Linked DNA regions of Drosophila melanogaster. The protein of the gene in region 3 interacts with the protein of the main gene of each other region in a pairwise test. Each region holds a gene or a part of one and is shown on either strand. Other genes may lie near its edges.

Region 1 (2,863 bases), on a different chromosome or scaffold from region 3:
CTGCGTGTAGATAAAGTGGATCTATAAACGTTCGTTTTATATTGTAGACGACAAACAATATATTATTTTATTCCACAACATAAAACGTTATATATCTACTTGATTTATAAAAGTATTTACAGGTAACCACCAGGGGCTAATATTATTATCTAAAATTTCTAAAACAAATTGATAATCAAAAAAACATCTACACAGCTGGCCCAAAGTAAACGAATGTGTGTTTGTTTAATCATATTTACTTTTGATTCATGAAAAACGAGATTCGACTGATATGTTGGTATATAAACCAGAGGATTGAGCTTTCTTCGTTTAGATCACAAAATCTCCCCAAAACGAAAATGAAACTTCTTCTGGTTCTGGCATTGGCAGTCTTCGTAGCCCACGTGGCTGTGGCCCAGACAACTGATTCGTCTGACGATGGAGATTACTCTTACGATTACGCTGATGACAACGATACTGCCGGTAGCTCCGAAGACAACACTGCTGATTCTGGAGACACTAGTGATAGCTCCACTGACGTCGACAGTGGAAACGACTCTGGGGACGTCGATTCCTATGACGACTACGAGGGCTCTAGCGATGTTACGGAAGCACCAACTGCTGCTCCAGTTGTCAAAAAGAACAAAAGAGCTGGTGCCAGGAAAAACAACAGGAACAACAAGAATAAGGCAGCAGCTAAACGTCGCAATGCCGCCGCTGCCAAGAAAAGTAATAACAAGAAGGCGGCTAAGAAGCGAACACCTGTTGCCGCCAAGAAGCGGGCAAATGCTGGACCCAACAAACGTAGGCGCTCTGGATAAATCCAGTTTATTATATTCGTAGCTACAAATTATAAAAATAAAAAATTATACCAAAAAAATTTGTTCCCAAAATTACCAAGATTTTTTTCTATGACGTTTATAAGTTAGGTTTTGAATTAATATATAATAATGATAATGATATTTACCAAGAATGTGGTTGTTGGGTATGGGTGTTTATTATTATGAATTTTGTACAAAACTTGAATATCACAGAAATTTTGAAATATATTTAACTATTTCACCCAATGTTCAAAAGACAAGAAAACATTCTACATAAGTTTTTATCGGCACGTGTTTTTTCCCTCATTTGTAAATAAATATATTTTTGATAAACAAAAACATACACCGCATATACTTGAAAAATTATATAATTTTAAAGACGTTTAATGTCATATCTATTTTTTCTATAAAACTACTAGCAGGTCGCCTAACGCGTAAACCATAGACAAATTGTTCAAAAATCCAGATAAGACATTTGTGACCTTGGCTCTTTTAATATAAAAGAGTTTATATTACTTTTTCGTGCTCTAACACAAAATATAATTTCATAATTTCAACATATAGCAATCGAAAAATGTTAAACAAATACAAGCAGCACACACAGGTGCTCTAAGCCACCGAAAATTAAGACGATGAATTAAAAAACCAATATTTGCATTCTACAGATGTACATAGAAAAATAATGTAAAAAAGCTTTATATATTTATAAATTTCTTCAGAGGAGAAAAAACTATAAATACCCAGTGTTGAAGACTTTTAAACTCAGACGTTTATACCTAAGGTTACCTATCTGTTCGTTGACTCTATAGATACAAAAAAAAAAAGATGAGGCTGCTGTTGGTTTTAAGCCTGGCCATATTGGTTGCCTTCGTAACGGGTGCTGATGACACTGACGATGACTATTACGATTATTACGACTATGGTGATGACTACTATGACGACTCTGATGTAGAGTCCAGTTCGGAAAGTGGTGTTGGTGCATCCAGTAGCTCAGAAGATGATGCTAGTACCTCCGAGGACAGTTCCTCCGGCGAAGCTTCCGATACAGGTAGTTCTTCAGAAACTTCTGGAGATGGTTCCTCCGCCGAAACGACCTCCAGTTCAACTCCAACCAAGGCAGAAAAAGCCAAGAAAACTGCTGCACGCAGAGCTAGACGGCGCAGGCGCACCACCACCGCTGCTCCCAAACGCAAAGTAGCGGCAGCCGCGTCTGCCAAGAAGCAAACACCTGTTGCCCAAAAGAAGAAGACACCTGTGGCAGCCAAGAAGAAGGCGAATACTGCCGCCAACAAACGCAAACGCACAGGCTAAGCAGTTCGAAAAAAGGATAAATTCCCCATAGTCACTGAAAGTTTTTACATCAAACTTTTAAGAGGACCAAGAGACATCTTGTAGAATCTACATTAGTCTGGGAATATTTCATATGTTGTTTTCTGTACAAAAAATCCATATAAAAATACAAAGATAAGGAGACGTTTTGTAATTTACCAAAAATATACATTATTAATCCAAAATATACAACAATTTTGTATTTGAGGGCTTAAATGATCTTTCTTCGGAGAGAAACTAATCATTACAAATCGTTTCTGAATACTTAAAATCGAAAGCCAACTAAAAATCAAGTATTCCTTAAAAGGAAAAAAATTTTTTGAACGAAACATTCATTTAATAAACTGTTGTGGTTTATATACAAGTCTCTGCAGCCAGATTAGTATAAATCGTTCTAGTGGCGTAGTATTACCAAAGTCAGCTGCATTTTGCTGCATATTTTTAGGCGCCCACATTTACATTTACCAGCGCTTTGGCGCATTGTGTTTCTATTTAGACGTAAGCCAATAGCATCTATAAATAGTAATTATGCCCTCATACAAGTAGACATAAATGCACAGGGACACTTAATTACTGATGCGCACAGGCGACAATTGTTTAATGGCGAAAGGATAACGAAAAGGGAGGAGCCTGAGTAGCGCCATCGGCCACCACAATGGGACCATTGTTTTCGATTTCAATGCCGACATTCTGGCAGTGGCACTGCCAACAGAAATCCCGTGTATCCAGTGCAC
Region 2 (4,785 bases), 990 kb from region 3:
ACCGGCAACCCGGCCTTTGTGACAGTTTTATCTCTGGCCAGCAGAAGCTATTGCCAAGCTCTTGCCATCCTCCTGCCATGGGAAAGCCATCGCGCTGAGTGGGCCTAAGAATTTTGCATGTTTTCGCACAGGTTTTTGTGGTTTTTGGTAGCAAGTGGATTTGCATACGCCACGCGGCTCCAAAAAACGGGTTAGGCTTTAGCCAGTCTTGGTGGATCAGGAGTTCCCCCTGCTAGGGACCATTGATTTCCTAGTCATGGCAACTAATTTCCATTCATCATGTTCGGTACCTCGAATGGATCAATAATCCGGACTCCTCCCTTGGAACAATCACAAACAATGTGACAGCTTTATCTTTCAGCACCAGTCGCCGTCGCAGTGAAAATCCATTTCCAATTGTGAATGCCGAGCGACAATTGTCGAATTCAATTAACGCCTGCGGCACCACCGAGCGTTACTTAACGCCGACACCCACCCAACGACCTCCGCCTCCTGCCGCTCCTCCTACTCCTCCTCCTCCTCCTCTCCCCCGGGAGTTTCCAGCGGGTGGGCAAGGACGAGCCGTAGCTGTGGCCGTAGCTGTGGCTGTTTCGCCAGGGTAACGGCTATGCAGTGTCACAATGCGGATGTGGATGTGGATGGGGTCCTTGGAGTGGGCGAGATACATACACTATCAGTTTCTATGAACCACACGATGCAGGACGTGGGCGGGGGGCGGGAGTGAGAGCGTTTGCGTGCTGCGTTGCCTCCGCCGATTGGCCGGAACGCGGCTGCAACGGCAACGCATCGGCTGCGGAAACGGCCACGGATAAGGCTACGCTCTGCCGCAACGCTCTCTGGCCGGAACTCGCCGACCATCCACACCAAATTCTACTACCCCCAGAGCGTTCACAGAGCGAAGGCGGGCTGCACGGACGTCATGCAATCGCACAGTGGAGCAAAAGTTGCAAGCTGGATTGTACTGAACTTGCTCGGTTTTTGCTCATAACATTAAGTTTGTGTACCAAGTTAGAAAAACAATTTTGACACTAAACTATTAGTTTCAAATCAGGTGGCTCATTCTTAACATTTCAAAGTAGCTTTAATGTAAAAGGTCATGGTATCATGCTTCTATAAGGTTTCCTTTCTTCCCAAATATATTACAATGTAATCCTAAAAAGTTTTGAACTCTTAAATCACAAAGATAGTTTAGTTAGCTGCACTTGAGTATCATCACAATTTTTACTACTAACCAACTAATCAACTAACCAGATTAGCAATGTTTATCTACAAAGGTAACTGCGTATTAGTCACTCTCTGAATATAGTGGCTTTACGTAATTACCCCTAATTTCAATGCGGTTTTCTATGCTGTTGAAATCGACCTAGCCCACTAGCCTCTAGCTTCACACTTGACCCACTGTGCCCGTGTCGATTTCGCTCCCGGAGGACGTGTCACCTGGCCCCCACCCCTGCTGCCGAATCTGGCCAATGGCAGCTCACCGTCGGCGCAGCGTGCGACGCATGCGCACCGGGCCAGCTCTCTGATTGGCTCTCATTGGCTGGCGGTGGGCCAAATGGGGCTGAAACCGACGCGGACGTCGCAGCCGTGAAAAACCGGTTACACCAGAAAAACGGTTCGTCCGTGAGTCCGTGAACGCTTGTGTCAGTGTGTGCGGGCCGCGTATTACGAGTGTGTTAGTGAGCGGCGGCTTTTCGGTGGCGTTTTGGGCCGCTCTGCTTGGCGGCGCTTCAGTAGAAATTGTCGGCTGATGGACCGCGGGCGAGGCACGAAGCCAACTCTCAATTTCCACTGCTACCGCCACTGCCACTGCCACAAAAATTGATCGAATCGATGCGCCGGTCCCGCGATTCGCGTGCAGTTAGTCGAATTTTTGACGGTCGAGTGACAAGGTGCGTCGCGTTCCGAACTCCCAAATAAGAATCATACAGAAGCCATTAGCCGTCGCGCCTCCGAACTGAGTAATCGGCCATTATCCGCGGAATAAGCCACACGGTGCATGCAAAACTCGAGCGGAAAGTGTTGTGCTCAAGTGATCAAAGGATTCGAACCAAGTTGCGGCAAAGTTATTGGATAGCCGGCGAATTCAGTGCTCTAAGTTTAAGGTGAGCACATCTTTTGAATTATATATTTCAAAAGTATAACCATCTAGGAAAGATACTATTCATGGAAGATTATCCGTTTTTGGTCAAGCTTTTATGCTTGCACAACGTTTTTAAATTGAGCTTCACCAAGTTATGTTGAATTGGTAAAGTTTAAGTGTTCATTTGCTATCTAGATTATAAAAAATAGAACATAAAAAGATAAAAAACTAGCAGATTCAAGTATCTGTTATAATATTCCATAGATCGTTTATAACGAATTGTCATTATTATTGGCATAAATTAGTTAGAATACATTTGCTTGGATCTGAAAATAAATTTGAGCTTTTATTTGAATCTGCTTCATTAAATGAAATTAGATGACAACTTTATTAGTTCACTGACAAGTTTTTAGATTGTATATTTTGTTGATTTGGATTTTACGCCAGATGTGCTATCTCGTTTTCTACTCGAGACCAGATAAGCTTAATTGAACTTGGTGAAAAGTGCACACATTGCATTTTGAGTGCAGACACATTCTAATCCGTAATATTATGCCAACACTTGACAAAAGCTAACGACGATGACTTATCGGCGTCTTAATTAAGATCTGGTCGCATCCATCGACCTGCCCATAATGACCACCATAAACGATCGTAATCAATTTGTTTGCGCATAATTTGCTTTCTCAACAACTAAATCATTAAAAATCGAGTCGCTCCCGATCAGGTTGCGGCGTTTTTGAAAGACTTTAATAACGATATTTGCTTATCGAGTTCGACACATCGGTCTCAAGTCCGACCTCGTCCCCCCAGACCCAACGCCCTGCCATCGATCGGCTTATTTCTTAATGAACGACGATCTGATCTAACGGATCGAGTCTGAACGGAACCAAACGGGGCGATCTTCATTCAACCGGCGGCGTTAGTTTCGGCCAAGATTCGATTCCAATAATATTCGAATAATATTCATGTTGTGAATGAAGTGGAAGATGCCACCGGATGGCCTGAATCGAATTTGCAATGCAAAACTACGGCCAATTGAACTTCCGCCGCACCGAGATAACTCATTTAAAGCGGACCAATCGATCGTTGGCCAGACTGCCAACGATCGATGACTGCCTTTTTGGCCAGACTTTAGTTTTCCCACGACCACGGCGAGCGACAAAAGTCAAAAATCGTATGCTAATTAATTCTTTGTCATGCCGTCGTTTCTGGCTGCCATTATGGCCCATTGACTTGTGTGCTTTCTAAGCCAAAGCCCAAGCCACCGGCTTTCGGGGCTTTTGGCCATCGGCAACGAGGCAACGAGCCGTCGGACAACTTACTTAAGCGTGGTCCAGAAAGAGCAAGCTAATCATATTCAAATGGTGAAGCGTACGTTTTATTATAATTTTTTTATTTTAATTAGCGGCTGTTAATGCCCCGCTTGGCTCTGGCTTCGATCGATCCATTGATCTGCGGGGGGGGCAGCAAATGATAAAAAATAAAATCAAGGGAGAGGGTTCCGAAACAGAAGCTCGGCCAACCTGTCGGTTCCACTTTCGGTAATCGCACGAATTTAAATTATTGTATGTTTAACTAATTTCTATCGGTTTTTATGTCTGTTCCGCTTGACATGTGCACGGAGCTAATTGAGACTTACGAGTTGAGGATTGTGGAGAAATCGGTAGCACTTGGGGAAGATACTAATTATACTCGTATATTATCCCCCCTGAAAACCAGAAAGCGGTTCTCGAGAACCCAGATTAGCAACATCCCTATATATATAACTCGCAATTTGGCCTCAAGATCGCATTCAACATTTAAAATTGTAGCCGTTGTGGATCTGGAAAAAACCTTTGCTACGCGTTCACATTTTATAAGGTCTCTTAAAATTAGAGGGGATTTTTTGGTCTCACCAGATACTTTGGATCACTGCTTGTTAGTTAGATTAGATATATTTCCAAAAGTAATACCTCAAATTTAGGTTTTTGTGTTCTGCAAGATACATTTTTCAGCATTCTAAGGATGGATCGTACCCAATAATTGATAATTAACACGTGTAGAAGTGGCAAAGCAAGTGGAATAGTCGCATATTTCTAGGGGTTGCTACTATGTCCGGAACTATTTAGTTTTGACTGCTCACTGGCCTCGATTGGGCCACGAAAAATTCCAGAGAAATGGGCGAGCAGCACGCCAGAGGGGAAATTAACCCTTTCATTGCGGCCAAATTGGATTTGGCCGGAATGTCTATTTCACTTTCTACAAAACCGAGTGGATTTGCAATCCTTATCGCACTGTCGGCCAAATCGTGGCCCCGGGCCAACTGCTAACTTTATGGCCTTAACGGCCAGCACGAGTTTCCCGTTCGCGGTGAGTGGTAACCGAAAAACTGAGACGGAGACTGAGAAGGTCCAAAAAAAACCTAATGAACAACTTAATTTCGAGTTCTTTTTTTCTCGTTCTGTTTGGTGTTTTTTCCGTTTTTTTTTTTTATTTCAAAGGGGGAGTGTGTGGTGCGTGCGGTGGTTCGGTGGCTTAACACGCGCATTTCGGTGGTTTTACGAGCTGAAAAGCGGCAAGGGAGCTGGACGAAGGACTCCCGGGCTCGGCAATTAAATCAAATGTGAATTCCATAATAACATGGCCATGACAAAGTGTGGACCGTCGGCCGGCAGTGGCAGTTACAGTTTTTGATTTATACGGTTCTTCAGCGCGTTTTC
Region 3 (4,730 bases):
CGCCAATCCCTGTGATTCGATCGCTGACGATCAACTGCTGCTGGCAGCTGCCGGAAAAGAATGCCAGACCCAGTCTGCCTCCAGTCGATCCGCCTGTATCTGTATCTGTATCTCTTTATCCCAGCCGGACGCCACTGATAAGCGCCGCAGATCTGGCGGACTATGCTGCAGCTCGGCTCGTGATCGCTCATCAACCTGCCCAACATGCGACAGACAACGACGAGTTCGGCGATCGGCAGCGCTCAGTTGAAATTCGCACTTAGGCAGACCGGATCAGTCAGCTGTTTGACTATCTTTATGATATGGCGTGCTCCCTGTGGGTTTCGTTATCGCGTTACGAGAGATGAAGACTAGATATTCCTGAAGACAGCTTAACGACGGACCGCTTGCCGGATTTACAGCTTTTCAAAGTCCAAACAAACAAGATTGTGGATTCCACCTCAGAGCTAAGCCAATGACTTCTCCGATTTGGCCAGAAAAACAAAAACCTGGGAATAGGGAGCTCTTGCCAGAAGTTGGGGATCAATCATTTTACTTGAACTAAAAAACATCCACAGTTTTTAAGATTCAATTATATTTGTATTTACACCGAAAAAATGTATGCGTCGCGATCTATTGAGAACTTGAGTCACAGTTGAGCTACGCTGTTATTGCCACGGGAACATTTACATGAGGATCACGGCATCCACTTACTACAAAATGGCATACATCAGGAGTATCTTCCTCATTGACTGCACCATTTTTGACTGTAGTAGTGTAGTGAGCAATGTGTACTTAGGTATAGGCTAGCATAAGAATGAGACCTACGAATTGCCGTCTAAATCGAGGGCTAACAGCTGTGCGCGTCTGCCGTCGTGGGGGACACCGTCGCAGGGCGTGGTGCTCCACAAGTGGCTTCCCACAGACGGCTCAGGACTCATCCGACATTTTCGTAGGACATTGGAGGCCGTTCGCTGGCGGTCGATCCGAAGATCGTTGGCGGATGGTGTTGCTGTCCCTGTTGCTGCTGCTGGTGGGGATGCTGTTGCTGTTGCTGGTGGGGATTGTGGCCATGCTGGTGTTGCTGTGCGGTCGGCTGCTCGTTGCGAAGCTGTCCCAGCGGAAACATGATGTTGTGGGCCATCTGGGGGTGGTGCAGGTGCTCATTGGGTGGCGGTGGAGGCGGTTGCTGGTGGGCAGCATGAAGGGCCTGAGCGGCCTCCACATGCTTGCGTTGCTCGCTTTGCTGTTGCTGTTGCTGCTGATGAACCTTCTCCACGCTGTTCTCCTCGTACTTCTTCTGAAGTTGGAAAAGAGGCAGCTGCTGGGAGGTATGAATGGGCACAGCAACTGCGCCTGCAGATGCTACTCGCTCTACCTGTGATTGAGGCGATGGTTCACGCTCGCCCTTTTCGTATTTCTTTTGCAACTGGTACATGCTGTGGGACAAGTGAGTAGTCACCGTGCTACTGCCACTGCTGCTAGAGCTGAGTTTTGAGGAGGTTGACGTAGAGGAGGGCGCGGGCTTCTCCGCTTTGACAGGCGACTTCTTCTGATACTTCTTCAGTATCTGCATTAGTTCGGACTTTACATCAAGGCGTATCTCCTCCGGAACTCTCTTGATCTCTTCGTACAGGGATAAGAGGAACAGCTTGTCGGGATCCCGGTTCTTGCGCTTCTTGCTCTTTTTTGGAAATGCATCCTGCATGAACTGCAGAAGCTTCTCCTCAAATGGCGACTCTCTGGATAGTGATCCACTTCCATGCTGGCGCCTCAACAGGTGTGGATGCAAGCCACCGTGAAAAGCAGGGTGCTGGAGCATTCCGGAGTGGGATTGACCACCGCCGCTATGCTCGCCTCCTCCACCGCTGCCATTGTGCGCCTGCAACTGGGATACTGGGTGTCCCTGATATGAGCCACCATTGCTTGATCCAGGAGCATCATTGGTTTCGCCATCGTTGGTGTGATGATCCTGCTGCTGCTGTTGCCCTGCATGCGATTGCGGATCCTTCTGGTGCTGCATATTGTGCTGGTGATGGCCCACTGCTGCCGTGAGAATAGCATCGCACAGATGCTCCGGGGCGTAGTCCAAGCCGGTCAAGAAGTTCTCCGCCTTGAGCTCACCATTCATCTCCTCGTAGAAGTACTCGGTGCCCACAATGTCGATGATATCGTTGTCCTCCTGGTTTAGTTCGATCCCCGGTGGTGGAGATCCTCCAGAGAGTTGACAGCGCTTCAGTTCCGCCAGCTTTTTCCTTGTGGTCAGTCGCATATCGCGCCAGCACTGGAAGAAGATTAAAGTTTATTTTTGGATTTAATAGGCAAGTAAACGCACCTTTTTCCACTGAATAATCGTCTTCTTGGGACCAATAGTATTAAGGGCCGCTTGGATCTTCTCCCAATACCACTCCTTCTCCTTTTTGCCCTCCATGTACTTGGTTTCCCGCAGCAGTGTGATGAGCATCTTCTTCTGCGGCTTGGTCACTCGATCCTGGAAGAGTAAAACGGTTCATTAGCAATCCCACATTCCAATGAATGAAATTCCACAAATCGGTGCTTTTCCCGCCTCGAACACCACTCCAATTGTTGCTATTGTTTATCCAAATGCCAGCGGTGTCTACAATATTTTGCTGCTCCCCGCACACACACACGCACAAGTCGTGTGTGTGTGTGGTAAAAGAATCGGACGATTCGTAATTTTTGGAACCTTGCAAATTACCATGGTGAGCTTTTGAAGCAGTCTGCGTTGGCTCGAAATCTTGATGTTTTGTTTTTCAACCGCCGTCGAGTTTTTGCTGCTGAATTCCGGGGACTTTTGTTTAATTTTTCACTCCCTCAAACATTGCTGTTGCTGCCTTTCGTTCTTCTTCTTCTGTCCGCTGCGTATGTGTGTGTGTGCGTTTGACGGTCTCACCAGTTTGACGTTTCGCCCGCCCGGTTGGAAATCAGCTGATGCGCAAACGACCGTTACAAAATTAAATTTGTAGTTAAATTACTTATTTCGTTGATTTAAGTAATGTAGCAATAAGTATATTGACCGATGGCTCTTGAAATAAGTATATTGCTGTAATACACAACCTTTTTTGCGAATTAAAAAAACTTGAAAAAATTCACAATTAAAATGATAAGAACAGTTTTATATGGTATTTTTAAAGTTTTATTAAGTGATAAGAAAGTAAACGAGTTCCATTTCAGCGTTTGTTGGTTGTCGCCTGTCTGCTGACCTGCCGGGTGATGGTGGACACACCCTCCTCGAAGAGAGTGCGGAACAGGACGTTGGCGTGGTTGAAGAGACCATCCTTGAGAGACACAATCAAGAACTGCGAGTTGGTGAAGTGCTGCTTCAACATACTACCTATGTTTTGGGTGTGTGACATGTCCAGGGCAGCGTCCACCTCATCCAAAATGTACAAGGGAGCCGGAGAGAACTTAAGCATGGCCAGGACAAGGGACAGAGCCACCAAGGACTTCTGGCCACCAGAAAGTTCACCGAGACTCTCCTTCCATATGCCATTGAAGCCGACTTTAATCTCCAAACCGGTCAGACAGCCATTGGTATGGACGGGATTGAGTTTCGCTTCAGCACCCGGTAAAAGGGAGCTAAAGATCCCACTGAAGTTCGTGTTCACCTCGGTAGCGGCTTTGTTCAGCTGATCCTGCTCTTCTTCGTCCATCTTCACTATGATTTTCTTAATCTTCTCCTTGTCCATCGCCACAATGTTTCGCCGGCGCTCGGTCTCCTTGAAGTTCTCTTCCTCGCGATCCAGCACCATGATAGCGTTCATGTTGAGAGTGCGTTCCATTTTGTCCTTTTTCTCCTGCATCTTTGCCAGCTTGTTGCCTGCTTCGTGGGGGTCCTCCTTGCTGTAATCGTACCGAGTATTCTTCATGCCAAAGCAGTTCTTCTCCTCCGGAATCCACGGATACTTTGCCTCAAGGGCTTCCATCCGTTTCTTTGCCTCTTTGGCATCCGAACTGATCTTTTTTTGTTCGTTCTCTTTTTTCTTCACCTCCAGCTCAATCTCCTGATTTTCCTTCAACATTTTCTCCTTCTTGACCAACTGATTTCGCATCTCCTTGTTCTGATCTCTCAGTTTATCTTTCTGCTCCTTAATCGCCTGTTCGAGCTCCGTCACCTCGGACGCGGCACTGGAGCTATTTACTTTCAGAGCGTCTAGCTCGGCCTTAAACTTTTCGAGGTTATCAATCATTTCCTGGTGCTGCTTCTTTGCAGTTTCGATACTTTTCTGCAGCTCAGTAATTTCCAATTGAAGAGTTTCGAACTCCTGCTCTCGCTTTTTCCAGTTCGCACGAGATTTCTCCGCCCTTTGCTTGGTCACCTTGATCTCGTTGGTGGCTGCATTCAGCTCTCGCTCGCGATAACCCTTTGCATCTGCCAACTTCGCCTCGATATCCACTATTTTGGCTTGCGAGGTCTTCTGCTTTTCACGGGAGTCAATTATTTGCTGCTCTAGGGTCTTGACCCTTTCCCTCATTTCTTCAATTTCAGCCTGATTCTGTTGAAAGGTTGTTTGGGCCAACCTGTTCTCGCACATGGTTAGCTCGTGCTGTCGCAAGTCAAGATTTTCCTTCATTTTGTTGAACGCGAGGGCCTGGTTTTCAATGGATCTAAAAACAGATAGGCGTAAGTATTGGCAATGAGAAGTTACTGGTTCACCTACGCAATTTGCTTTTCCACTTGGGCTATCTCAGAGTCGATCTCCCTGTACTCCTTTTCTATTTGCTTAATT

The links. The genes of interacting proteins can lie anywhere in the genome.
Region 1: the proteins of CG10209 (region 3) and CG9040 interact in a two-hybrid assay, tested with the Drosophila melanogaster proteins (2 studies listed by BioGRID).
Region 2: the proteins of CG10209 (region 3) and Poxn interact in a two-hybrid assay, tested with the Drosophila melanogaster proteins (2 studies listed by BioGRID).

What each region holds. Positions count from the first base shown.
Region 1 is NT_037436.4:13,986,317-13,989,179, forward strand, and holds CG9040 (uncharacterized protein), read left to right. Parts: upstream 1-1,561; 5' UTR 1,562-1,625; coding exon 1,626-2,111; 3' UTR 2,112-2,310; downstream 2,311-2,863. Other genes in the region: CG17362 (uncharacterized protein), read left to right, coding at 339-800.
Region 2 is NT_033778.4:15,832,003-15,836,787, reverse strand, and holds the start of Poxn (Pox neuro), read left to right. Parts: upstream 1-1,732; 5' UTR 1,733-2,105; intron 2,106-4,785. UniProt on the Drosophila melanogaster protein: Transcriptional regulator that specifies poly-innervated organs (chemosensory bristle). Also controls the number of neurons.
Region 3 is NT_033778.4:14,845,502-14,850,231, forward strand, and holds CG10209 (uncharacterized protein), read right to left. Parts: upstream 2,866-4,730; 5' UTR 2,702-2,865; coding exon 2,699-2,701; intron 2,471-2,698; coding exon 2,315-2,470; intron 2,264-2,314; coding exon 917-2,263; coding exon of another isoform or gene 830-916; 3' UTR 563-829; downstream 1-562. Other genes in the region: SMC2 (structural maintenance of chromosomes 2), read right to left, coding at 3,171-4,608, 4,662-4,730.